3 linked regions of the Schizosaccharomyces pombe genome follow. Changing the gene in region 1 together with any one later gene gives a genetic interaction. Each region holds a gene or a part of one and is shown in the gene's direction. Other genes may lie near its edges. The genes, in order: pyp2, med14 and igo1.

The links.
Region 2: of pyp2 (region 1) and med14, extra expression of one rescues a mutant of the other (dosage rescue), as found in Schizosaccharomyces pombe (one study listed by BioGRID).
Region 3: of pyp2 (region 1) and igo1, changing one enhances a phenotype caused by changing the other (phenotypic enhancement), as found in Schizosaccharomyces pombe (one study listed by BioGRID).

What each region holds. Positions count from the first base shown.
Region 1 is NC_003424.3:5,197,517-5,205,735, forward strand, and holds pyp2 (protein tyrosine phosphatase Pyp2), read left to right. Parts: upstream 1-5,139; 5' UTR 5,140-5,306; coding exon 5,307-7,442; 3' UTR 7,443-7,686; downstream 7,687-8,219. Other genes in the region: Tf2-8 (retrotransposable element/transposon Tf2-type), read right to left, coding at 1-2,196; protein Emc10, read right to left, coding at 7,948-8,219. UniProt on the Schizosaccharomyces pombe protein: Plays a role in inhibiting the onset of mitosis. Dephosphorylates sty1/spc1 and wis1/spc2/sty2.
Region 2 is NC_003423.3:1,992,858-2,001,805, reverse strand, and holds med14 (mediator complex subunit Med14), read left to right. Parts: upstream 1-2,712; 5' UTR 2,713-2,877; coding exon 2,878-5,517; 3' UTR 5,518-5,800; downstream 5,801-8,948. Other genes in the region: anaphase-promoting complex cullin family subunit Apc2, read right to left, coding at 1-671; sdh7 (ACN9 family protein), read left to right, coding at 1,032-1,331, 1,447-1,494; V-ATPase assembly factor Pkr1, read right to left, coding at 1,430-1,640, 1,721-1,908; pus7 (pseudouridine synthase), read right to left, coding at 5,837-7,879; SPOM_SPBC1A4.11C (uncharacterized protein), read left to right, coding at 8,156-8,530. UniProt on the Schizosaccharomyces pombe protein: Component of the Mediator complex, a coactivator involved in the regulated transcription of nearly all RNA polymerase II-dependent genes.
Region 3 is NC_003424.3:1,235,852-1,242,836, forward strand, and holds igo1 (serine/threonine protein phosphatase inhibitor Igo1), read left to right. Parts: upstream 1-3,044; coding exon 3,045-3,128; intron 3,129-3,173; coding exon 3,174-3,257; exon of another isoform or gene 3,258-3,321; coding exon 3,322-3,573; 3' UTR 3,574-4,334; downstream 4,335-6,985. Other genes in the region: SPOM_SPAC10F6.15 (uncharacterized protein), read left to right, coding at 1-1,114; SPOM_SPAC10F6.17C (bifunctional phosphoprotein phospatase/[pyruvate dehydrogenase (acetyl-transferring)]-phosphatase), read right to left, coding at 4,470-5,804; N-acetylglucosaminyldiphosphodolichol N-acetylglucosaminyltransferase Alg13, read right to left, coding at 6,444-6,932. UniProt on the Schizosaccharomyces pombe protein: Plays an essential role in initiation of the G0 program by preventing the degradation of specific nutrient-regulated mRNAs via the 5'-3' mRNA decay pathway.

The sequences.
Region 1 (8,219 bases):
GTATTTATCATCATCATGTTTTTGAGACAATACGGCTCCTACAGCGACATCTGAAGCATCAGTTTCTAGTAGAATCTTTTTACTGAAATCAAAGTGTCGTAGCACCGGAGGCGAAACTAAACATTGTTTAATGTTTTCTATCGCTTGGGTTTGTGTTGGTGTCCATTTCCAGCGTACATCCTTTTTCAAAAGATTATTGAGTGGATGTGTTAATTGTGATGTCTTTGGAATGAATTTCCTAAGATAATTGACAGAACCTAGAAATTGTCGTAATTCTTTACGATTCTTAGGTTGCTTCCATTGTAAGACTTTGTCTATATTTTCTTGACAAGGCGTAAATCCTTTTTCCGAAATGTGATACCCTATAAATTTTACTTGTGATTGATGAAATTCACATTTTGCTTGATTGATAATTAAGTTCGCATTTTTTAATTTCTGTAGAACGTCTTTAACATGTTTTACATGTTCAGATTCCGATTTTGAATGAATTAAAATATTATCCATATAACATACTACATGCGATTCTTTGACTTCACCAAGTATTGTATTGATAAAGTATTGAAAATGTGCTGGAGCTATAGATATGCCATAAGGCATTACTAGATATTCAAAAACTCCACGAGGACAGCGAAAAGCAAGTTTATGTTCATCTCCTTTTCTTACTCGTATCAAGTGATAGGCACTTTTGAGGTCAAGTTTAGTAAAAATTGTAGAACCTTGTATTTTAGCAAGTAATTGTTCAATAAGTGGTAACGGATATATATTGGGTTTGACATACTTATTTAAAGGTTTGTAGTCAACCACCATTCTCAAGGTGCCTTCCTTTTTCGGAACGAACATTACTGGACAGGCGTTAATGGCTTTAGATTCTCGTATAATTCCACTTTTTAATCCTTGATTAATTTCATCATTCATAGCTTGCATTTTTCCCGGTGGTAGCGGGTAATTTCTGATAGGTAATCTGTAGTTTTCTTGAGTTAGTTCAACTTCAAATTCTAACCCTTTTATTGGCTTTGGTAGCTTTTCCGTATTGGTTTCTGCAGTAATGTCTTTGAATTCTTTATAGATATCTGGTAACTCAGGTTCCTTGACAATATTTGAAACTTTGTTCATTTGAGAGAGCGTGTGTTTACTGCTAGATATTTCAATGTTATTGTCATATAATGTTGTGAAGGAGATAGCAGCTGGATGCGAAAATTTCTTTACAACCAAGAATTCTGTTTTGATTGATATTCCATTTAGACTTATGTTAAGTTTTATTGTTTTGCGATTAATCTTATTTGGATAAACTCCACCATATATCACACTTTTTGACCAGGGTCTGGTAGGCAGTTTATGTGCTCGAACAGTTTCTTCTGTTATAATATTTGCTTGAGCGCCCGTATCGATTAGACAGGGTATTGAGCACTTGAAGTCTGGAAGTTCAGCTTGTAATACCATTTCGTAACGTTTCCTAGTATGATTTAGGAATTTGTTAGATGAGTATTCTATTCTCGAAACATTTGTCTTCCTCAGGTTTCTGCTATTAGTGGTGTTATTTTTCTTTGAAAGGGACTCTTTTCCTAGATTTTTATTTTGCGGTTGAAAACGCTTGTGAGTTTTACCATACGAGGCTGTTCTTTTGTCCTCTAAAAAGTCATAAATTTCACTGATTTCTGATTTCCAGTAATTTCTTTCCTTTAATTTCCTTAAGGAATATGGCAGCATCCATAATATAAACAAGCGAGTATGGAAATCATCAACATTTGCTTTTGACATGAGTTTCCTTATAAATTGAACTTTGTCCAATTGATTTCTAAAACCTTCAAATGTTTTAGTTAAACGATCACCTTTGTTGGATCCTTGTACTTTCCCTGTTTGTCTGAGTAATTCTTGCCATGTAAGACTTCCATTCTCAGAAAACATGCGTTCAGCGAATTGTTGCTCTAATTCTTCTAGGTGATTCAATGTATACTGTCTTTTAGTATGCTCATTTGGGAATAATGAAGGGTATTCAGTAAAGTGTTGATCAAGTTTTGAAATGTAACTTTCAACATCCTTATTTGGATCGAATTTCCCTATCTCTGGTACATGCTTCGATAATATTTTTGCAAAAAGGTTTATTAAATGTTCGTCTGATGTTTGAATTCCATCCAAATTCTCTGGTCTCCATCGTTTTGCTCTTGCTTTCATATAACGATAATTTGCGTAGGACATTGTATATGTTTCCCTTTGGGAGATTTCAAAAGGGATAACAGTCCTTCCAAAGTTCCTTCTCCTTTGAACCCAGAAGGAGAGAAATATATATATTTATGATATATATTTATTCAATAATTCCTTTTTCCTAAAAGGAGTTAATTGTAGATCACAAGAGTTCAGTTATTGTAAGCTACGCAGTTTGGTATCTGATTTAAGGATACGTAGAACTGCGGTGAGTTTTCCTTGTGATCTATTATATTACAATACACAGGTTGTATAAGTAGCAACTGAGTATAGGTATTGTATTAACTGGGTTATAATGTTACCTATCACTAATATAGCTCATAACTGAACTGAGGAACGAGGTTCAGCAGTAGCTCTATTTATAGTATTCAGATAATATTGATCTTAATAGATTATCATTAAGATCAATCTCCATATCGTATCATACATGGTACGATATATAATTAGAACATGTGACATATAGTGATACTCAACGTAGTGTATTATAGCGTAGTGTAGTATTGCTGACAATAAGTGATATAGACATTCAATCGTTATAGCGTATTATTTTATTTTGTTTCGATTACTCACTGTTACATTATTTACGATTAAGTAATTCACTATTCTGAAGATACGTTCAATTACAGTAAGTTTTACTTGAAACCTGCTATATTGTGGTATAGAGGTAATCTGAGTAACACTGCTATTGATATTCTTGTATATATAAATGATATTGTGACTTATCATTGAAATTGCTTATGTATGAACCTCGTTCCTAAGTTTAGATGAACTCTACTTACGATTTTTAATGTAGAATTTAAATATCAGAAGAATCCTAAATTTTCTCGAATGCTACTTCTTTCATAATTATCAATTAATAAATCTTTAAGTAGTTTCCATCACATGACGCATAATGATTTTTAACGCAGTGCACCTTAACTTAGCTTAGGATTGCTGACATATTTCGAATTTTTTCTTTGGTTCATTTCATCTGTAATTATTTTGTTACCAAGAGAGCATGGGAAGCTTGCTGCAGCTACCAAATAAAAGCCTCTACAGAGCACCGTTGAAAAAGAGCACTTCTTCACCCATGAAGTAGTGAACTATAGAAAATGTCATCTGGCAACACGGTGTTAGTTGTTGACCGTTTTGCAAACAAAGATTAGAGAAAGCCAAGACAAAAAAAAAAGGTTCCCGACATGTAATGTATTGCAGTGTTTACCAATGTCAGTCCCGATCAACCCTTTTCTCGCTTGCCAAAAAAAGAAGAAAGAAAATGTTTCTTTTGCGTAGTGGCAAAACAAAAGAAAATCCACATTCTGTAAGGATTCTTCAAAGGATAACAAGTCCCCACTTTTGATTACCGAATGTGTAAATAAATTTTTTTCGCTCTTCACATGTCTATCTTGTTCAAATTGGCATGAGAAAATGTTAAAAGATGGGGTACAGAAGAGAATCTGGGGAAGCAGGCAGAAGAAGATAATTAAGACATATTATTGATGTGAACAAAACAAGGGGATTATTTGGATTCACCTGACGATTAGAAACACGCAGTACATGAGAGTACGTAAAGTACCACCGAGTCATTCACTTCCCTGCCCCCCTCTCCACTTTTCACAATAGCGCATGCCATAGCGACTCAATTTTCTAGTAACGTACGTATAGTCCACATTAAGACAATCTCCCGGCTTTGCAAAGTCTCTTTAATCCTGCATAGTGCTACACAGTACAACTAGTGTTAATTACGAGTTAGCCTTGGTTCGCTGCGGCCCTTTATTTTGCTGTGGCCCAAGAGAGGGCTTCTTCCATGCATTCGGCTTCACTAGATCCGGTCTTACTGTGCTCTAAGCGTCACTCGTCACATTATGCAATATTTCGTTAAATAGTACACCGTATTGCCATCTTACCTCTCGTTATATCTTAGAATAAACGGTCGCTTAGCAGAAAAGTATGGGGAAACCCCTTTAGGTAGCAGAGAATGACGTGACCGTGAAATTAGGTACATTAGTACCCGAACTTTGTTTTCGAGGAATTAAAGAAAAAAATCATCATCAACTTTATAAACTAAAAGAACTCATTTTTCAGCTTCAAAAAATTCCTTGGTTTAGCTCATTTCAATCTCCTTTTAGCCGTTGTTTTTGTTGCCTAAAATTTTTCCTCGTCTACGATCTTGACACGTCATGACTACATAATATTACATTGTATGTTACCTGGTCTCACTGCCCAGTGCCTGGTGCCAAAACCGAGGATCAGACGTAAATCGATCTACATCCTTCTTACATGTAAAATATATATATATATATATGAGGGCCTGGTGGTGAAATGTAGGAAAAACCAAGTTGTACCAATTTTAAGTGTACGAGATTTAGGGATCGCATGGAAGCCCTATTCTTCGTAGAAGAAAATTTTTGTTACGTGTTAAAGTTACTTCAACTTTACCCATCTTGTGTATATTACGTGAAGATTTCACCTATTTGACTCATTTACTAGTTGTTTATTTATTTATTCATATATATTCACTCATCTATCTTTTTTGCATTTTATATCCCAGCGCCACTTCGCGGACTTCTATTTATTTGACAAAAAGGAGCTTTTCTCTGTTCAACATCAATAGGCAATACAAAGGGAAAATCGAGTTGCAGTTTTTCCTTTTCATCACAAAAAAATTAACCACCATCATCCAAGAATACAAAACTTTTAATTTTGTTTATTTTCTGTTTATTAAAAATTTATTTATTTGCTTGTTTGATTTCGTCTCTTTCAATCAACAAGTTTCCTCATTCATCCTTGTTCACGTCGCCCAGGAGTTTCTTTGTCTTATATTTTTGACTCCTTGATTGAACTCGCAAAAAGTCAATAATTGTTATTTTTATACAGTTTCTTCTCTCTTACGTTTCCATTTTGTTTATATTCTTTTTTTCCGAAAGCACACTGTAAATAACTCAAAAAATTTCTCTTAACCCGCACACCTCTTCACACTCGCCTGCTATCTTTTTTTTCGTTTTAATTTGTGTGCCATTTTAAAAGTTTCCTGTATATATATTTTAGCTTGGCCAATCTTGTCTCTGTCCCTTTTACTTAGGATATAACATCTTCCAAGGTGTTTTCAAAAATTTTGTGCTACTATGCTCCATCTTCTGTCTAAAGACGAATTTAACTCTACTCTTAAGTCTTTTGAAGAACAAACCGAGAGCGTTTCTTGGATTATTGATTTGCGCCTGCACTCCAAATATGCTGTTAGCCATATAAAAAATGCCATCAACGTTTCTCTTCCAACTGCGTTGTTACGTCGTCCGTCTTTTGACATTGGAAAGGTTTTCGCCTGTATAAAATGCAACGTAAAAGTCTCGTTGGATGAAATTAATGCCATATTCCTATACGACTCTAGCATGGCTGGCATGAACCGTATTTATGATTTGGTACAGAAGTTTCGACGTGGTGGATATTCCAAAAAAATTTATTTATTAAGCAATGGATTTGAAGCCTTTGCTTCCTCTCATCCGGACGCCATTGTCTCTACCGAAATGGTCAAGGAGTCGGTCCCATACAAAATTGACATCAATGAGAATTGCAAGCTGGATATCCTTCATTTATCCGATCCATCTGCGGTTTCTACCCCTATTTCACCAGATTATAGCTTTCCATTGAGAGTTCCTATTAACATCCCACCACCTTTATGCACACCTTCGGTAGTCTCCGATACCTTTAGTGAGTTCGCGAGTCATGCGGAATACCCTGGATTTTCAGGTTTAACACCGTTTTCGATTCACTCTCCTACTGCTTCTTCTGTTCGTTCGTGCCAATCTATATATGGTTCACCCCTCTCTCCCCCAAATTCAGCTTTTCAAGCTGAAATGCCATATTTTCCAATCTCTCCCGCCATTTCTTGCGCATCTTCTTGTCCTAGTACGCCTGATGAACAGAAAAACTTTTTTATCGTAGGCAATGCCCCTCAGCAAACTCCTGCCAGGCCATCTCTACGATCGGTGCCTTCTTATCCCTCCTCGAATAATCAGAGACGGCCTTCTGCTTCTCGCGTTCGTAGCTTTAGCAACTATGTTAAATCCAGCAACGTCGTCAATCCAAGTTTGTCTCAAGCTTCCTTGGAAATTATTCCACGGAAGTCAATGAAACGTGATAGCAATGCACAGAATGATGGTACTAGTACGATGACAAGCAAACTTAAACCATCTGTTGGTTTATCAAACACACGAGATGCTCCAAAACCAGGCGGTCTAAGAAGAGCTAACAAACCGTGCTTTAATAAAGAGACCAAGGGAAGCATTTTCTCCAAGGAAAACAAAGGACCCTTTACTTGTAATCCCTGGGGTGCCAAAAAGGTTTCTCCTCCTCCTTGTGAGGTGCTTGCGGATTTAAATACTGCTTCTATTTTTTATAAGTTTAAAAGACTTGAGGAAATGGAAATGACTAGATCCCTAGCGTTTAATGACAGTAAATCTGATTGGTGCTGTTTAGCTTCCAGCCGCTCCACTTCCATTTCAAGAAAAAATCGTTACACAGATATCGTGCCCTACGATAAAACAAGAGTCCGTCTAGCCGTTCCAAAAGGATGTTCTGATTATATTAATGCTTCACATATAGACGTTGGAAATAAAAAATATATTGCCTGCCAGGCCCCTAAGCCGGGAACTCTTTTAGACTTTTGGGAAATGGTTTGGCATAACTCAGGAACAAATGGTGTTATCGTAATGCTCACAAATCTGTATGAGGCGGGAAGTGAGAAATGTTCTCAATATTGGCCAGATAACAAAGATCACGCATTATGCTTGGAAGGCGGATTACGCATATCTGTTCAAAAATATGAAACCTTTGAAGATTTGAAGGTCAACACTCATTTGTTTCGATTGGATAAACCTAATGGTCCTCCAAAGTATATACATCACTTTTGGGTGCACACGTGGTTTGACAAAACCCATCCAGATATTGAAAGCATCACGGGAATCATACGTTGTATTGATAAGGTTCCCAATGATGGACCAATGTTCGTTCACTGTTCAGCAGGCGTAGGACGCACTGGTACTTTTATTGCTGTAGACCAAATACTTCAGGTACCAAAAAACATTTTACCCAAGACGACCAATTTGGAAGATTCAAAAGATTTCATATTCAATTGTGTTAACTCGTTGAGATCACAACGGATGAAAATGGTTCAAAACTTTGAGCAATTCAAATTTCTCTACGACGTCGTGGATTATTTAAATAGCGGCGTTAACCAGGCTTCCAAGCCCTTGATGACTTAACGAAACGACTGTTCTTTAATTTTCTGTGTTTGTACACACTATGTTCTATTTATGTGAGATTGTGTAATTCCTCATTTTTTACATTATCTGACGCGAAGGTTATGTTAAAAATACTTAACCACACTCTCCGGTAATCATGTGTAATTCCTTCCTTATTGTTGTTAAAAATTGATTTTATCTCATGCGTGTAATGAATGTTTATATCTAGTTATTAATGAATCTTGTTTATGTTGGAATGGAATAATTGTTAAAGACTAAATTAGTTATGTGCACGTAGAAACTTCCTTCTTTTTTATTTTAACCTTTCCTATACGATATTTCATTACAAATGTTTGTATAGATTTTAAAGTACTATTAAGTATCGTACATCTGGCACATAGCAGTATTATTGAATGGAAATAGATGAATTAGAATATTTGTAAAGAGCACAGTAAGTAGTAGCAATAATCAAAAAATTATCGTAGCCGAGACGCAATTGTTTTAAGGCATATATATAATGACTCGTTTATTTCGCCGTATTTGCTGCCTGTTGATTTGCATTGTTACCAGACATAATTATCAGAAACAATATCGGGATGAGATATAAACCATATTTTTGGAAAAATGTCTTTTCCTCAGGTTCGGACTCTAATTCATCTTCGTCCACATTTGGAGATTCTTCGGTTTTAGAACCCTGTTTATTTCCTTGTTTTTCCTTCTGGGGTTTAGATGGACGTGATCCCTTTTTTCTGACAGCAGTAGTTAAAATTGGAATTGGAGAAGAAGGATGCAATTGCT
Region 2 (8,948 bases), on another chromosome or scaffold:
TCTGATCGCAAATGAGCAAGTATTTGAGAAACAAGATGGTCTAACTGAACCAAAACCGCTGGATTCGACAATGAAAATACATGTTCAACAAGAACCCCAAATTCGGTGCGAATCCACTCCAATGCTTCATGGTAAACACTCTGCTCCCAAGACATCGCATACCGTGTTGTTAAAAGAGAGCCGACATGCAACTGCAATACATATACAAACCTTTCTTTTAACACAGAAGACAGCCCCAGCTGCTTAAATTTTTCACACAATTGAAAAAATTTCTCCATATCCAAACAAGGATTCGTTTTACTCTCTAACCATACTTTTAAAACTTGATCCAGATATTCTGTTAGAACGCTTTCAATCACCGAAATGGGCAAGTACCTTCTACAAAGGCAACGGAAGCATGTAAGGATTCGGTCGAGTTCAGGACTTAAAATAGGACTTTCTAAGACACTCTGTTCGTAAACAAGCCAAAAGTCACTTAGTTGGTCCGTTAAGTCGTGTAGACTGCATATGTTTTTTAAATCAATCTTTAAGAGATTTTGGCGAATAGTGGTATAGAAATGAATTCTCAACTTGTCAATAAAATCCAATACTGGTGTTCCCTGTGTGACTGAGCTCAATTGATCGATCAACAACGAACGGCCAGTAAAGGTGGACAGATCAGTATCATTCATTATGCTTTTAATTTTTTCTGATAAATACTTTAATCTTAAAATAAATGAATTCAAGCAACTACAAATAATCGATACCAAATCGACAAGTCCTTTCTACGTAGTCCGATAACACAAAGTAATGTTTTCAAAAGAAAAAGGAATTAAAAATTGAAGATTTCAAGACAAATGATTGAAGGAACACTCACTTTTCCTACTAGTATATCTTCTGGTGGTATTGTTTACATTTGGTAGAAGAAGACCTTGCAATTGTTAGTGTGAATGCGATGAATAGCAAACTGCCTTCCACATCACAACCACAACAAGAAACTTAAAAGGAATTCAATTTTTGAAAAGACGGTATCTAAAGAAAATCATATACCAATGAATAACATAACGAAATTAATGAAACAAAAGAATATTTTGACACCTCCTTTGCCTCTGTACCGAAGGGTGTTGAGAGCGCATCGCTATCACCTAGGAGCAGAAGAACGAGCTTTAGGAGATGAATATGTAAAGGCGGAATTTCGAAGACATCGGAACGTAACAAATCCTTTGCATTTAGTAGGATTTTTAAGCTCGTGGGAGAGGTATGCGGATGCACTAGAAAACGAGAGCTGGAAACAGGAAAAATACAGTAATACGGATCTACTAGAATCTTTAAATGACCAGCAAATCGGACAGGTAAGAAAACTTATATTAGATTGAGGTTTATTATTAAAAGAAGAGAACTTTTACCAGTGCTCTTGAACTTATTGCTTCTTTTTTTGGACCTATAGTTTCTAACTATTATTGGCAGTTGTACGAGCTCTCAAAAGCTCTTCAGGAACAGAAAAAGTCTGAGTAGTGGTCGCGGAATCTGATTCTTTATCAGACATCTCTTTGTTATTAGAAGGATTTTGATTGTTTGAGTTGTCGTCATTTTTATTGGCACTTTGAGACGACATCTGCAAATCGTTATTAACTCGAGCATGTGCAAGCTCAACCAAAAACCTATAAAGTTGTTAATGAATGATCTGGACTACTCGTAAAAAAGTGAACGAGATGTTCAACTTCCTCATGGATAAACGTACCATGTTAGCGACAGCCACAAACAGATTGCCAGGAAAAATAAGATGAGACAATGAATACTTTTTGTACCTATATAAAGTCCAAGAAAAACAGCGACAAGTGCACCACAGGCTACGTGTGCTGACTTAGCCAATACAGGTGTGACACCTGGTGTGAAAATTGATTCCCATAGTTCCACCCAATACGACATGATCTTTTTCTTATTGGAATACTACTTGGAAATGTAGTAGCTATGAATTGACGTTGTTAAACCACCGTTTGTGTTCTAGCGATAAAATCTGGCCTTTATAGTGTGCGTGTGCTATTGAATTAATTTAGCAACGAGACCGATGTTGGAGTTCATTAAAAGTTAAAATGGATTTCAAGAAATCCATATCTTATACTACTATTAAAACCGAAGGTTATGCTTCCATTTGTCCAAATTTATTGTTAATAGAGCTTTGAATCATTCAAATGGAATAGTGCTCTACTTTTGTTTTGCTATATTAAAAATTTTTTGTCAGCTTCTTGTGGTCGTGGAGAAAATAATTAAATGATCAAAACAAATGTTATTTTTCGGCTTAGCTCTTCTAAATTACTGTTTTATTATCATTTTAATGAGACACGCTGAAGCTCTGATTAAAATTGATAGCAAAGTTTGAACAGCTTTAATGATGATTTTCGTTCAGTTTAAAGAAGGGGCTTTTTAACTACTATAGAATTACGAGAATCTTTTTGAACGGTTCCATCTCATTTGTTATTCTTCATTATCCATAGTTTCAAACTATGTTTTATGCGATTATCGCATAACAGGGCATGTTTATACTAGCTCAAATTTATTCAAAATCTCCCATTTTAGTAATATCATTGATCAATTATTATTTAATTCCATTTAAAATTGCTTATTTATTGATTATTCCAATTTTTTGAATGAATAAACCTAAGGCGTTTTAACAATCTCAGTGAATGGCGTAACGAAGGTTATCGAAGAGTTTCACGGGAGCTGTGTGAAGTTGCTTTTGGCACGCTACTCGAAGATTTCTGTAAAAGAGATATAAAGAATCCTTTTTAAGGGTTTTTAAAAGAACAAAACTTATGTTTATTACGAAATTTAGTTTTGGTAAAGGATCGGCTAATTAAAGGCGCTATTACACGAAATTCCTAACTCCTCCAATTGAGGATGGAACCGCCTGCGATTCCACACATTACAGAAGGATTTTATCCTCTTCCTGAGATAGTAGAAACTTTTAGTCATCATGTGTTACAAGAATTGGTGTCTTTAGCCGAAGTTCTACCCTCTATGTCAAATGTCGAGAAAAAGAAAAAGATCTTAGATTGGTTATTACGTTCGCGCGCTTTCACTATGCGTTTGCTAGTTTTAGCGCGTTGGGTACATCTATCTCCTTCAGTTCATCGATGCATAGATGTTGTAGCCTTTCTTCAAGGTCAAAAATTTTGCTTCCAGAATTTAGTTCATGTGTTACAAGATATTCGTTACCAGTTGTCATTTGCACGTCTACGCAACTCAGATTTAGTTACTGCATTAGATATTTTGTCAACTGGCACGAGTCTTCGTCTAGCAAATGCTCCCACTTCAAAATTATACATGCTATCTGAATCACCGCTAAGTACCAAACAAATACTTCAAACCCTTCATGCTCTTAACATGCTTATTAGAATTCGTCTTAGTCTTTATGAAATTATTCCGACACCATTTCAACATTTCACAATTGCTAATGGTCGTTGCACATTTACTGTTCCCAATGAGTTTTCAGTGTCTTTGACAACCAATTCCCAAGATCCTAAATCTACCGGTATTTCATTCCAGTGGATTGTTGTTGACTTTCAATTTCATCTTCCTGATTTTTCTTCTACTCCCGCAAAATATCGGGTTTTTATAGAATTGCATCTCAATGAAGAAATCGCTGCTGCATTCGTTCTACAAAAGCCCATCCTACCTTTAATATATAATATCCTTCATAAATTTTGTTTATATCAGCGCCTTAATTTATTGTCACAACAAACTTTTCAACTATCCAGAGAAAGTTGGTTAGGGCATTTGCGCGGTGTCTATGATGAAAAGCCCCCACGGCTACGTCTATACTATTGGCCCCAATTAAATGTGAAAAAAGAAGGAAAACCCGGAAAAATTGGTCATTATATTCATATATTTGTAAATACTCAACCCATATCCGCCTTTGAGCGTACCCTTAGCTCTAAGAGATCCAGTTGTGAATATGATCATTTTTTATTACTCGTTGAATGGCACCATGATGGCATTGTTGAACATGTACCATTAGATGATCATATGGATGCTCAGCATCTACTATTATTAATTACCCAAAAACACGCTCAACTTATTCTGGAACAAATCCGTAAGGAGCTTCACCCAAATATATTTAGTGAACATGTTGGTGGTGGTCTAAAAATTCATGTCTTTGATAATGAAATAATTGTCAAGGTGAACAGCGTTACCGGCAGGCTCGTGCTGTCGAGTTCGGCTTCACCTTTATCACCTCCCAGGCATCTTCGTGCTGCTGAAAAAAATATTGCTTTGAATACGCAACCTCCCGCCCAAATCTTGAATCGGTTGTATTTCTTTTGTATACAAACGCAGCTATTAGAAGTTGCCCAGTGTGCTGAGTTGCATGCAGTTCAAGGTTACTATTCTTTCCCTTATCTTACATTCTCCAAAGGTAAATGGAGAAAAGATGGCGATTCCCTATGGGTACTCGCGTACAACGTTGAATCCAACTCTTGGTCTGTTAGATTGTTGAACGCTGCGGGTCAAACTCTCTACACCCAAGATGTTCATACTACAAAAGGTACTTTAAGTATTGAAAGTTTTAGCCGTCTTTCGTACCTATTGGAAGTCCAAATACTTTTATTCAATGTTCAAACTGCTTGCCAAGCTCGTGGTATGCCTTTTGAATATTTGCCTATTCCACCAAAAGCCCTAATTGAAGATGACTTTACTACATACGTCCAAACAGGATGCTTATGTATTATGATGCCATCGTCTAATGAAGATATGCTTCCTGTGGTTTTCGTTCGCGCGCATGACGGGCAGTTAATTTTTGACTCCCGAATAAAAGGAAAATTGCCGTATCAGTCTGAGACTGAAACTGAAAAGAACTGCTACATAGATTGGAGAACCGGTCGTATTACCATTCGTGTGCAAAATTTTTCATCTTTCGAAAAAACATGGATTGGATTACTTAAACTTGTTGCTTTGTCTAAAACATCTGCATTCAATGTAGATTGTATCACGTTAAAGCATGTGGACTTTACATATCTCGATGATGAGAAATTTAGGGCTACAATTCATGACGACAACACTTTTACCCTTCATTTTTTTAATCGACATAGTCCGTTTCATCTAATTTCTCAGTTTTTGCAGGATACATTTTCTGATGGGCCCTCAGCTATTCAACCATTACGCGTAATTATGGATAGAACGAGAGGTGTTTTAGTAGCTCAAGAATTGGGCTACGTTGTTTTGGCTCGATCTCTGCGTCAGTACAGAATTATCCTATCCAAAAATCATGGCATTCAAGTTCTTTTAAATCGCCATGGATGTATACTCCAAGATTTATCCTACTTATCTGCCGATTCCCGATACTTGGAAGGAACTCAGACTTTGACGTCTCAATGGGAACCTTGTTCATGGCTTAATACTGTTTGGGAAGGTGACTTGGGTGATGATGAGCTTAATGGTCAGATTGAGGCCGCTCCCGAGATGCACTTAATAAAGATGAACAAAACGGCTGATTTAACAGCCATTCTAAAAAGAATTTTAGCGATCTCTCGAAAAAAATGAACTCATATTAAGCTTTTAATCCTCACCCCCTCCACCGTCCATTCCTTTCGGTGGCAGTGATTAGTGATTGTATATATAAATACGGCAAAAAATGTCTGGTTAATGAGGTAAATGAAAATCGTTTTCTAAAGTATACAAGTGAATGTTACATTGATGATACATGTGATTTATATAATCCAACGTGTAAATTAGAGATCGTCGAATTAACGCTTAATCATTTATGAATAAGCAAAAAACTTCCGTAGGTAAAATGAATTTCTATTATAATCGCCATAATCCCAAGTTTATTCAAAGCTGTGTTCTTTTAAGCTAATAAATTTTATATTGAATCTTTAAGTACCGCTGGCATCAACATACGTTGATCACCACTAGCAGTTGCAGTTCTTAAAGCTTCTCGTAAAGCCATAGTAGCGTAAGCAGAAGATGGAAGTACAAATTTTAACGTAACAGCGGTGTGCTTACCAACCTCAGAACTCACTGAAATAGAACGGTTCTCCAATCTATCCTTATCCGTCAAAATCAGTTGTTGTTCCATATTGTCATACTTTATGAAATTAAACTCCATATTTTCAGGACGCACCAAAAGTTTTCGATAATCACCAGGTAATGAAAGTTCTCTGTCTTTGCGAGACATATTTAATGGATCAAGTGATGCCTCATTCATGACAGACTTGTATATATCGAAAGTTTCATTTTTTGGGTATATTACATTACGACCAGGTAAAGGAAGTACTATGTCGTAAATACTAAAGTTATTGACTTCGTCCTCTTCAATCGGACGAGCTGATAATTTTGAGCTCACAGGTAAATCTTCTAGAAGATCAGGTGCCTCTGGGTCAACAATAGGGCTTTTTTGACTTAAACCATTAGACTCAGTAGAGTAAACCAAATCTCCCACAACAGGACGATCGCCCAAATTCTTTATCCGCCAAGAAGCAACTCTGTTCCAAACGTAAGATTGATATGCATGAGGGTAAATACTTCTCAAGTGACGGGGAATTCTCTGGAACGCTCCTAAATAATCAGTTTGATTACCAGATCGAGACCATGTTTCCAAAATGCTGGATTCAGCTATCATCCTTCGAGGAAGAATGCGAAGAGAAGCTTCAGCATCATGAGTGGAATGCCATAAATCAATTGCTTCTTTGACAGAACCGGTATGCTCGGGCCTTGGTGATAAAATTAGGTCGACAGCGCCTTTCCAGTCTGATTGTAAAAGACGAACTCCAATGGTATGTGTCCCGACAGAACTGGTACCGAATCTTTGTAAACCAAAATAGTTAATAAACCCGTGCTCTTTTAAAGAATTCAATGCTTCAACAACCTTCTCTTTAGGCGTAATAACATTACGCACTACAATGTGAAATTCGTTTCCCTTCAAGTCTCCCAATCTTAAATTTGAATTTTTATAAGAATAATTTCCCAAAAGAAAACCATATGTGGAATTTTTAAGAGAACCAGAGTTTAATTGTGCGAGTCGAGATGCTCTAACATGATGAATAGCTACGCGTTGACAGGTTACGCCTCTTCTATCTTTGGTTCCAGCAATTGATAAAGTCCTAGTGGGGACTTTGAGGAGGCGGGCAATTTTACCAAGACAGTCCATAGAATCTCTGTTCTCCTTATACAAATGGAAATGGCAATATTCACCACCCAAAGCCTTCCAACTTAATCGGGGATCTCTTCGTGATCTAGGCTGGTTTTTTCTGGTGGTCTTTGACACTGTAAAAGTTCCATTCCCTTTTGTAGAAGACTCGAGTCCAGAAAAGTTGTTTCGTATGAATTGATGTAAGATCGTTCGCTGACCTTTATCCATAGGAGGAGTATTTTCGGGAAGAATTAATGAGATGGGATCAGTTATTTCACCAACTGATAGCTTATGAAGAGATTGAATAAATTCATTACCAATTCCCTTAGGTATGATACTTTGGAGGTCATTCGGCAATATAGGCAGTGTAGCAGGTTCTTGTTCCTTAAAAGAAGGAGCTTTCTGGTCATTACTTATATCTTGATTAGAAGAATCTTTTGCGTCTTCAGTTTCCTTGTCTCCGGTTGCCTTCGAAAGGATAGGATCGTGAGCTTCCATATCAGTTAAGTGAACTATATTTCCATCTGTATCAACTTCAAAAACAGCAAAATCCGTGAATCTTGCTTTAATAATTCCATCGATTGAAGGAAGATTTGGATTCAAAAACGCATCAATTCCTACATCTGACTCGGTCATATAAAACTTCTGACCGCTCAAATCTGAAGGAGCGTTGGCTTCATCTTCTAATCCATTTCTTTCCAAATTCCTTGAAGACTCAGATTGGTCAATCCGAATCCTTTTCCTAGGGACATCCACATGGTTTTCTTGGGACATTGCTAAAGCGAATATACAAATTTCAAAACCACTTGAATGGGATTAGCTACCGCGTTAGTATTCATAAAGCCATGTTAAGCACACTTTCTGCATCTAGTTATAAGGTGGATCGACAATGCTCAATAGTACATTATTACGAGGTGCGTATGACATTCATTAAAATTATACCACTCTCGACCATAATATATAATTTAGTATACCGAAACGAAGGATCTCGGAAAGAACTAAGAAAAGGAAAACAGACGAGGGCTACTTGAAGAAAGACGCCAAATATCAATGCCCGAGAAGGATTGGATTGGGGAATTTGGTCCCTCGAAATTCAAGAGCCCAATTGATAAATTAAATCAGCTTCTTCCTGAGAGCAATGACCCTTCTATATTGTACGAAACGTCCCAGCACCTTTTGTCTGAGTTTGATAAAACACTTAATGACTCTCTGAGAGTTTTGAACCAACAAATCAATCAAGTTTCAGAGGTCCTTCCCCGATTACCTACTATGATATCTGCGCTAGATCGTGAATCAAAACGCCTTTTTGAATCTTGCGAAAAAATGGATCCTGAACCTAGTGCTCTGATGCCCCTTCAAGAATTGGAGAAAATCCGCTCAAATATTCAACTCACAATTTCACAAATTGACAATCTTACGCCTTAAATTATTTACTTGCTGTATCCTTGTGCGCTTTGGTAAGCGTGACTACATTGAGTATATGTTTCTGGTTGTTTGGTTCTTCGAAAAACTAACATAAAAAGTTAGAATATTTCATGTAAAACAAATCTTTTTCTATGATTGTATATATGCTTGTTTTCTTCCCGTTGTATATATTCGAACGGTTCATCTATCGTTTACCATTTCTTCTGAATTACCCTACAGGTTTGATTTTTTTTTGACACTCCTCCACAGTGGTACATAAACGTATTGAACCATTATTGCTTTCGATTTGTTAGAAATAATACGGTGTTTTCTGACCTTGCATAAAAATTGATTATCTTCTATAAGCTAATTCTCGATATCTGTGTTTATTTTTCATGTGTACATTGTGAGTATAGGTATATATTTCGATAGGTTGTAC
Region 3 (6,985 bases), 4.0 Mb from region 1:
GCATTTTCTACTTTTAGACTCAATTTCGTGGATACCGTGTACATGTAAAATTCTCAAGTTAAAAGAATTCGAGCTGCCAGATCGCTTTGACATTCCAAATTTGTTTTATGATGGTTGGTTATCTTATGTTTTCCATACGTTTAGTGGTGTCTATTTGAAAATTGGTTATGAAATGGATGAGAGCGGGTTTTGCCTTCCTGATCAGGTTTATCACTTGATCGATAATCATTCTTGTATACAGACAGCAGTTTCGCATCTACTTCGAAATCATCAAGCTCTATTTAAATATTTGTGCGACTATCTACGTTCGGGCGAATTTCCATTAACTGTTTTGATTCATCATGTCATGCTCTATCAATATTACCCGAAAAGTCTTCAGGAAGCCTTGTGGGCAGCAGTTGAGCATTATGTAAACAATTCAGGAGAAGCATACAGTACTGTCCAAAAGTTAGCTGTACAGAAGAAAATTGGAAATATTCGCATGTATTTGGTAAATCCGAGGGATATCTTTGCTCTTGGCTCGACATGTAACTGCATTGTAGTAAGTTCGTCGAATTTTCAGTCATACGTACAGCTTCGTAAGCCGCTATTGGAAAATAATCTACCTTATGAAATTGATGGATTTGACAAAATTCTTCAGTGTGCTAATTCTGAAGCAGACATCGGTTGGATTGCAATGATTCACTGTATTGGCTCAAACGGTTATGCCTTCCCAATCCATCTCTATTTGAATATGAAAAAAAATATATTTCTCGGTAAACTACCAGAGTCGACGTTGCTTTTGTACAATAGTGATGGTGCAATCTTTAAGAATCCGCCTTCATCCAAAAAGGAATGTGACTTTTATAACCAATTGTTGCTAGATCTCTGCAAATGTCGCCAATTCAACGCCGAGATGGAGTGTAACATGAAAAAATTGTTCAATAATCCAACGGGTCTTCATTCATTGCCAAATTTACCAAATTTTTCTGAAGCAGGTTCAGCAAAATCAAGCAATTTTTGCTCGTCAAAAGATAACTGCTTAACCAATAGACTAACATTGAATTGTCTGGATACACCTTCAGATGAAAATGGAGAAGATATAGCGATTCAACTGATTATACCTGCTGAATGAGATGAGGATTGATAGAATTCCGAAGAAAATCTCGAGTTGGCTGAATTCGCCAATCCGAAAACATCTTTCACAAAAAAGAACCCAACATCAAGCTTGATGGGTGAGCCTAAAGTTATATGCGAAAGGAATTGAGTTTGCTTTTACTAAAAAATCTAACGAAGCAGATGATTTATGTTGACCAGCTATGGTGAATCGGTGGACCGAATTATCGTTTTGTGACAACGGGAACGAAACGATTTTTTACCCACATTATTACCGAACTACACTCACATCCTGACCTTATGTATTTGGTTGGGGAATGACATGACTGAATTATAAATGATATACAAAAGTTTAAATTAAAATCACGTAAAAGCGAAGAAAACAAAAACAGAAACCAAAAAATTCTTGACCTTACTCGGTATTCTTTACAGTTTCCGTTCCTTTTGTAAGTATAAGAATAAAAACAATGCCTATTTTCGCTTTGCGGTTGCCTGCTGAGCAGAAAACTAAGCGAACCTTAATATTCTTTAAACTTTCCACCATATTTACTTTTATACATTAGAACTGTGTTGTTCAATTTCCTTAATTTTTTCGACTGCAAATTACAGTAAAGTAACAATACGTACTAGAGGATATACAAAATATCTGTTTTAAATGACAGATATTTACTATGTCTTTAATGAAAGATATAATACCTACTTGTAGGTAGTATTCTCTATCAGTAAGCCCATGCGCAAATATCGTACACTCAAAGGACTGATGATGAATGCTGGACAGGTCGGTACAATAACTTTTTGTAGCCAAGTCCATCGCCAAACGTTTCTCCTTCAACTAACTAACTAACTATAAGAACAATCATGCACGTATAACCAAATTATTGTTCCCGTATGCACATACGTTATTGTACATTTGAGTATGCAAACATGAAGGCGACACATCCGCTAACATGCCAAATGTATATCATTCATTGACTGCCACTCGCTTAGCTAAAAGTGCGAACGCATATGTAATTCTATGAGAAATTTAGTCATTTCCACATGTAACAGTAATTTTGCGAATACTAAGGCTAACATGACAATCGTAAGCCAAGAAGACTTCCTAATTTCACTTCAGACGGATGAGCAATTCACAACTAAAAGTTGCCTCAAATCACTACTACCTGTATCACGATTAGAATGAAAATGTCGGATTTTTGAGATGTTATCGCCATGATGCAATCTTTTCGCAACTAAGTACTTTTTCTATTAGCAAGATAAACCGACTCCTTGAAGCAACTTCATTCTCTAGTCCTTATTCTGATCTCCAAGTTAGGTAAATGGAAATTCAACTATTTGTGCAGAAACCCCATCTCCCATTATTACCCTTGCTGCTCTTCTTTCTATCTGTACACTTTGGGAAGGGACTGTTGAGTCGGACATTCAACACTTTTTACAGCCACCAAAAATAGGTTGCCTAGACTAACAATAGGAAGGAACTTGTCGTCATGTTAAAAATCGGCCTTGCTCATAATAATTATTTTATTATTTTATTTTTTTTTTATTAGTTTTGGACGCAGCGATAAAATGCCCGATAAGGTTAGAAAGAATAGGTTATTGGCAAGAAAGTAGGGTTAACAAGTGAGTCGGTAGAAAGCATGTTAATCAAGCGAGTATGCAAAGTCTTCGTCAAGGATTCCACTCACAATAGCAAAGGCAGCAAGTTGTTTGTAAATAGTAAACAAATGACATTTGGCATAAAACCGACCTTATCCACTTTACTTTTTCATCATTCATGAGAAATGCCACTTAATCAATGAATGATCATTTAGTGTAGATTAGCTCATTCAGCCGCTATTTCGTTGGAATCCAGTAATTTTAGAGTGTTTACGTATCGACAAAATTACGTATGATACCTAATACGTTAACAGTGCGGTATCTTAGGCTTCGGTAGACAAGTGGCCGTGTGGTATATGGTAAGAACGCGCAAATGGATGTTGTCAACAACCATAATCGCCATGTCTTCTAGCAATTCAGAGCAGAAAGTAGACGTTGCAGTAAGTTAAGATTGTACAGCTGAAATTGATTATTAACTGAAATAGAAATTAAGTCCAGAAGAACAGAAGCTTTTCCGTTTGTATGGACGACTTCCTCAGCGAAAGGATCTATTAGTTCAAAAATTACAGGTATGGAGGAATGGATGTGTTTTGGATAAATTGTCATATTTATTCTAACTCTACCCCTTTTTAGCAAGGTAGAAAATACTTTGATTCAGGCGACTATGCCTTAAACAAAGCTGGAAAGGCCTCCGATTCAGGTATCACTTGTATTGGTAAGGAGATTCCCTCTCCTGACACAATTCCTCACCGTGTTGTCAGTGCTGGGTCTCCTAATAAAGAGCCGTCTCTTCACACGAAACGACCCTCAGAGTCCTCGCCTAGTGGTGCCAGTAGCAGAAGGGAATCTGTCACGCGACACGACTTGGAAAGCAATGAAAATTGAGGTCATACACGTTGCTATTTTTGCGACAAGGTTGGAGGTTTAATTTGGCTTGGCTCTTAAAATTTGGTATTGCTTGTCGTGTGCGGAAATGCTGTGTGCAAAATTGTGGTCTGGCAAAATGGAACGAACGCGTTTGTTCAGCTGTCAAGAGTTATGAGAAATATATAACGATAAAAGTCTACGAAATGAAAACGCTTACTACTCTAATACTTCCCTTTTCTCTTCCTTACCCTTTTCTACGTAGTTGATGGAGGACAACACTTCTGTTTTATTCAATGCATCGCGCATTCCTTTTCTTCGTTTCTTACTTTAAATCTTTTTTTCATTTTCCTTTATCAACTGTTGTTCTATCTTGTAATTTCTTATATGGTTCACTTGTTTTTTTGTTGTCAGAACACTTGTCACGATTTTGGCTATATGGCATTGTTTAATTCCAATGTTTGATGATTGTTCTCGTCATCGCTCTTGCGTATTGCACTATTGTCGTCTCGTCTTTTTGTGAGTTTCAAGTGTTTTTACTTACTTTATTTTTCTTTTTACATTTATTTACAATGTAACGTTTTATCATTCTATAGAGCAAAATGAGCATATTCTAAAATTTAATTGTTGCCATTCGTCGCCACGTGGATACGGTGTCTCCAACGGTTTTACTTTCGAAAAAAATTTGCTGTATTTCTTTTGTTTTTCTTTTTTTTTTAGCGTGGCTTATCTTACTGAGCTTGGTCAATGTGATAGGAATAAAAAAATGAAGTGTTAATATATATTTTCTCGTAGTGCCAATTTTTTTGTGTTTGGCAGATTATTCAATTAGTCGTTAAGCATTCCTTCTTTTCTTGCTTTTTTTACTCATGAATAAGAGTAGTTATGCGTGAAATAGCATTCCTTATCGTATGTATCTACAAAGTTTTTTCGTCGAAAAAGATCACCGTAACAGTTATGTCGTCACGATACCTTCTTGAAATTGGATAAGTCAAGGTTAATAAAGCAGATATTCTTTGGTCGCTTCCACCCAAAGAATGTCGAATAAGGTGCGTGGCAGCATTATCATCAATGACCTTTGATGTTTTCTTAAACAGCGACCATGATTGTTTGTCATCCTGAGTTGTGTTCTTTTCGTTGGTAGTTTTACCCAAAACTGTATCTGCCCATTCTCCGACCAATTGTACTGCTTGTTCACTGGACATAGTGTCCCAAAGGCCATCGGAAGCCATAATTAGAAAGCGATGCTTCTTTGGATTCACGGTGATACTTTCAATTTCAGGGACCGCAGTAACATATGGAGGAGTTTTAACAGGGATGGGTGAAGCGGAAAAATATTCTCTGTGTAGTCTCTCGCTAATTTCCTGGGACCATTTGTAACGAGCGTCGCCAAAGGCTCTTGAAGGCATAAGACGTCCAAGAATCCTGTTATTACGAAGGACTTCTTCGCCTGGATGCTCAACTTCCAAGCGAGATGCTTCATCAGGATTCATTCCAGTTTGATCGCGACTAAGTGGGATAGCTTCCCAAGAGCCATCGGGCGTACATTCTCCAAGAACAGCCCGCGAATCACCAGTACAGGCAACCTGAAGACTCTTAGATTTTGCTGAATACGAAGTAAGAAGAGCGCACGATCCTGATAGAGCGGGTAACAATAGACTAGCGGCTACTTGGAGTGACTCTGGATTGTTGAATACATGGGAGACATGCTCGTGTACAATTTGATGGTCAACTTTGGCAAATGCCTCACTGATCGACTTATCGAGCGCAAGAGATGAAGGACAAGCATTTTGATGATAGTAAGATGCAGTACACTTTTGCAATTCCCTAACGACTGCTGGAACTAGGTGCTGGCGTAAGAAAAGAGAAGTATTCCAACCGGAATGTCCGTCAAAAATACCCCAAAAATACCAATTCCCTTCATCGATGTTTCGATCTATTACCTCTACATGATCGTCTTCGCAAGGATCATTGCTGGCAACCTGATTGAAGTCGTAGCGAAAGATGCCATCTTTGTTGACGGTTACCGTTCGCTCAAACTCTTTCAGGCGTTTTGTGATACCATCCCCATCCGTGGGAGGAACCCGATTTTTAGAAACATGCTGATAAGTGCTATTAGGTATGTCCAAGGCAATCGCATCCTTACGAATATGGTAAGCAGCTAATCCAATGGAGGAAGCGGCTATAGCGACATATTTAAAGTTGTTACGCTTAAACACTTTCGAACCAACGGCTGAGGTAAAAAAATTCATCGATAATCCCCTTTTTTTAAACTTAGCTTCCAATTCATTCGTAGACTCCACAACAAATACTGCTGGCGAAGTTCCAGAAATCTTCCTCACTAATATACCGAATGTGGTTTTGTGAAACTCAGTAGCGCAAATGCTCAACCACTTTGCTTACCAAAAAACGGTTACTAATAAAACGATATGAAGGAGTATCGTCGCGTGATACAAAATTGGTATGGAAAGATGTTATTATCACACTCTCGGAATAGGGTGGCACCGACATTCCATATAGTGATTAAACACTTTCCCTTGTTCGTTATGGTTCTCTGTGGCTTTTAGATGGTGTTAATGTACGTGGCATTTCAATTTATTTACACAAAAACAGTAGTTTTGACTAGATGTAATAAATTATTTATTGACTATGAAACTTTCTTAAAGAAAGAGAATGGAGAGGGTTTGTAGAAAAACTAATTGTAAAGAAAAGTTGGCTTTCACTGTAACGTGTAAGAATCGAAGAGCATTAAAAAAAAGTAGATGCTGTGAATGCATTAAAAATTTATTTTACATAAGATAGTGGGATGGAAGCATTTAATACTTACAATACCAAAAGGCTGAAGACGACAAAGTGATTCCCTGATTGAGAAATAAAGCTGAGCATACGATTTACCTAGCGACGTCTTGCATGACTTTTTGAAAGGTTGAGCAATCAGACTTTGGAAAAGGGGTCAATATTTTTGGGTACAGCTCTTCCAAGCCTTCTACCAAGTTTGAAGTTGAGCACGTAACCAAATAATTCATCGAGGCTAATTTGGTAGCCAGTTCAACTTGATGGTTGTCCATTAAAGATTCATTTGGTACCACTAGCAAACGTTTTCCAGAACGAAGAGTCTGTAAGATGCTTCCGGCTCCTGCATGAGAGATGACTATACTAGCATCATGAATGTAGGATTCAATTTCTGGAGCATAGTCAAAGCCCAGGATGGTCAAACCAGCAACGCTTTTGGGGTCTCCAAATGCCTGTTTTCCTTTTCCGTACTGAACAATCAGTTGATTAATGCCATGTTTCACCAAACAATGCTGAAACTCGGGCTTCAAAACGGCTCGGATAAGATCATCGAATTGTGTAGAGCCCACTGTTACAAATGCATTCATTGTAAGAAAGGATAAAGTCAACTGCAAAAGATAAATGTAGGCGGGTTTTTGGA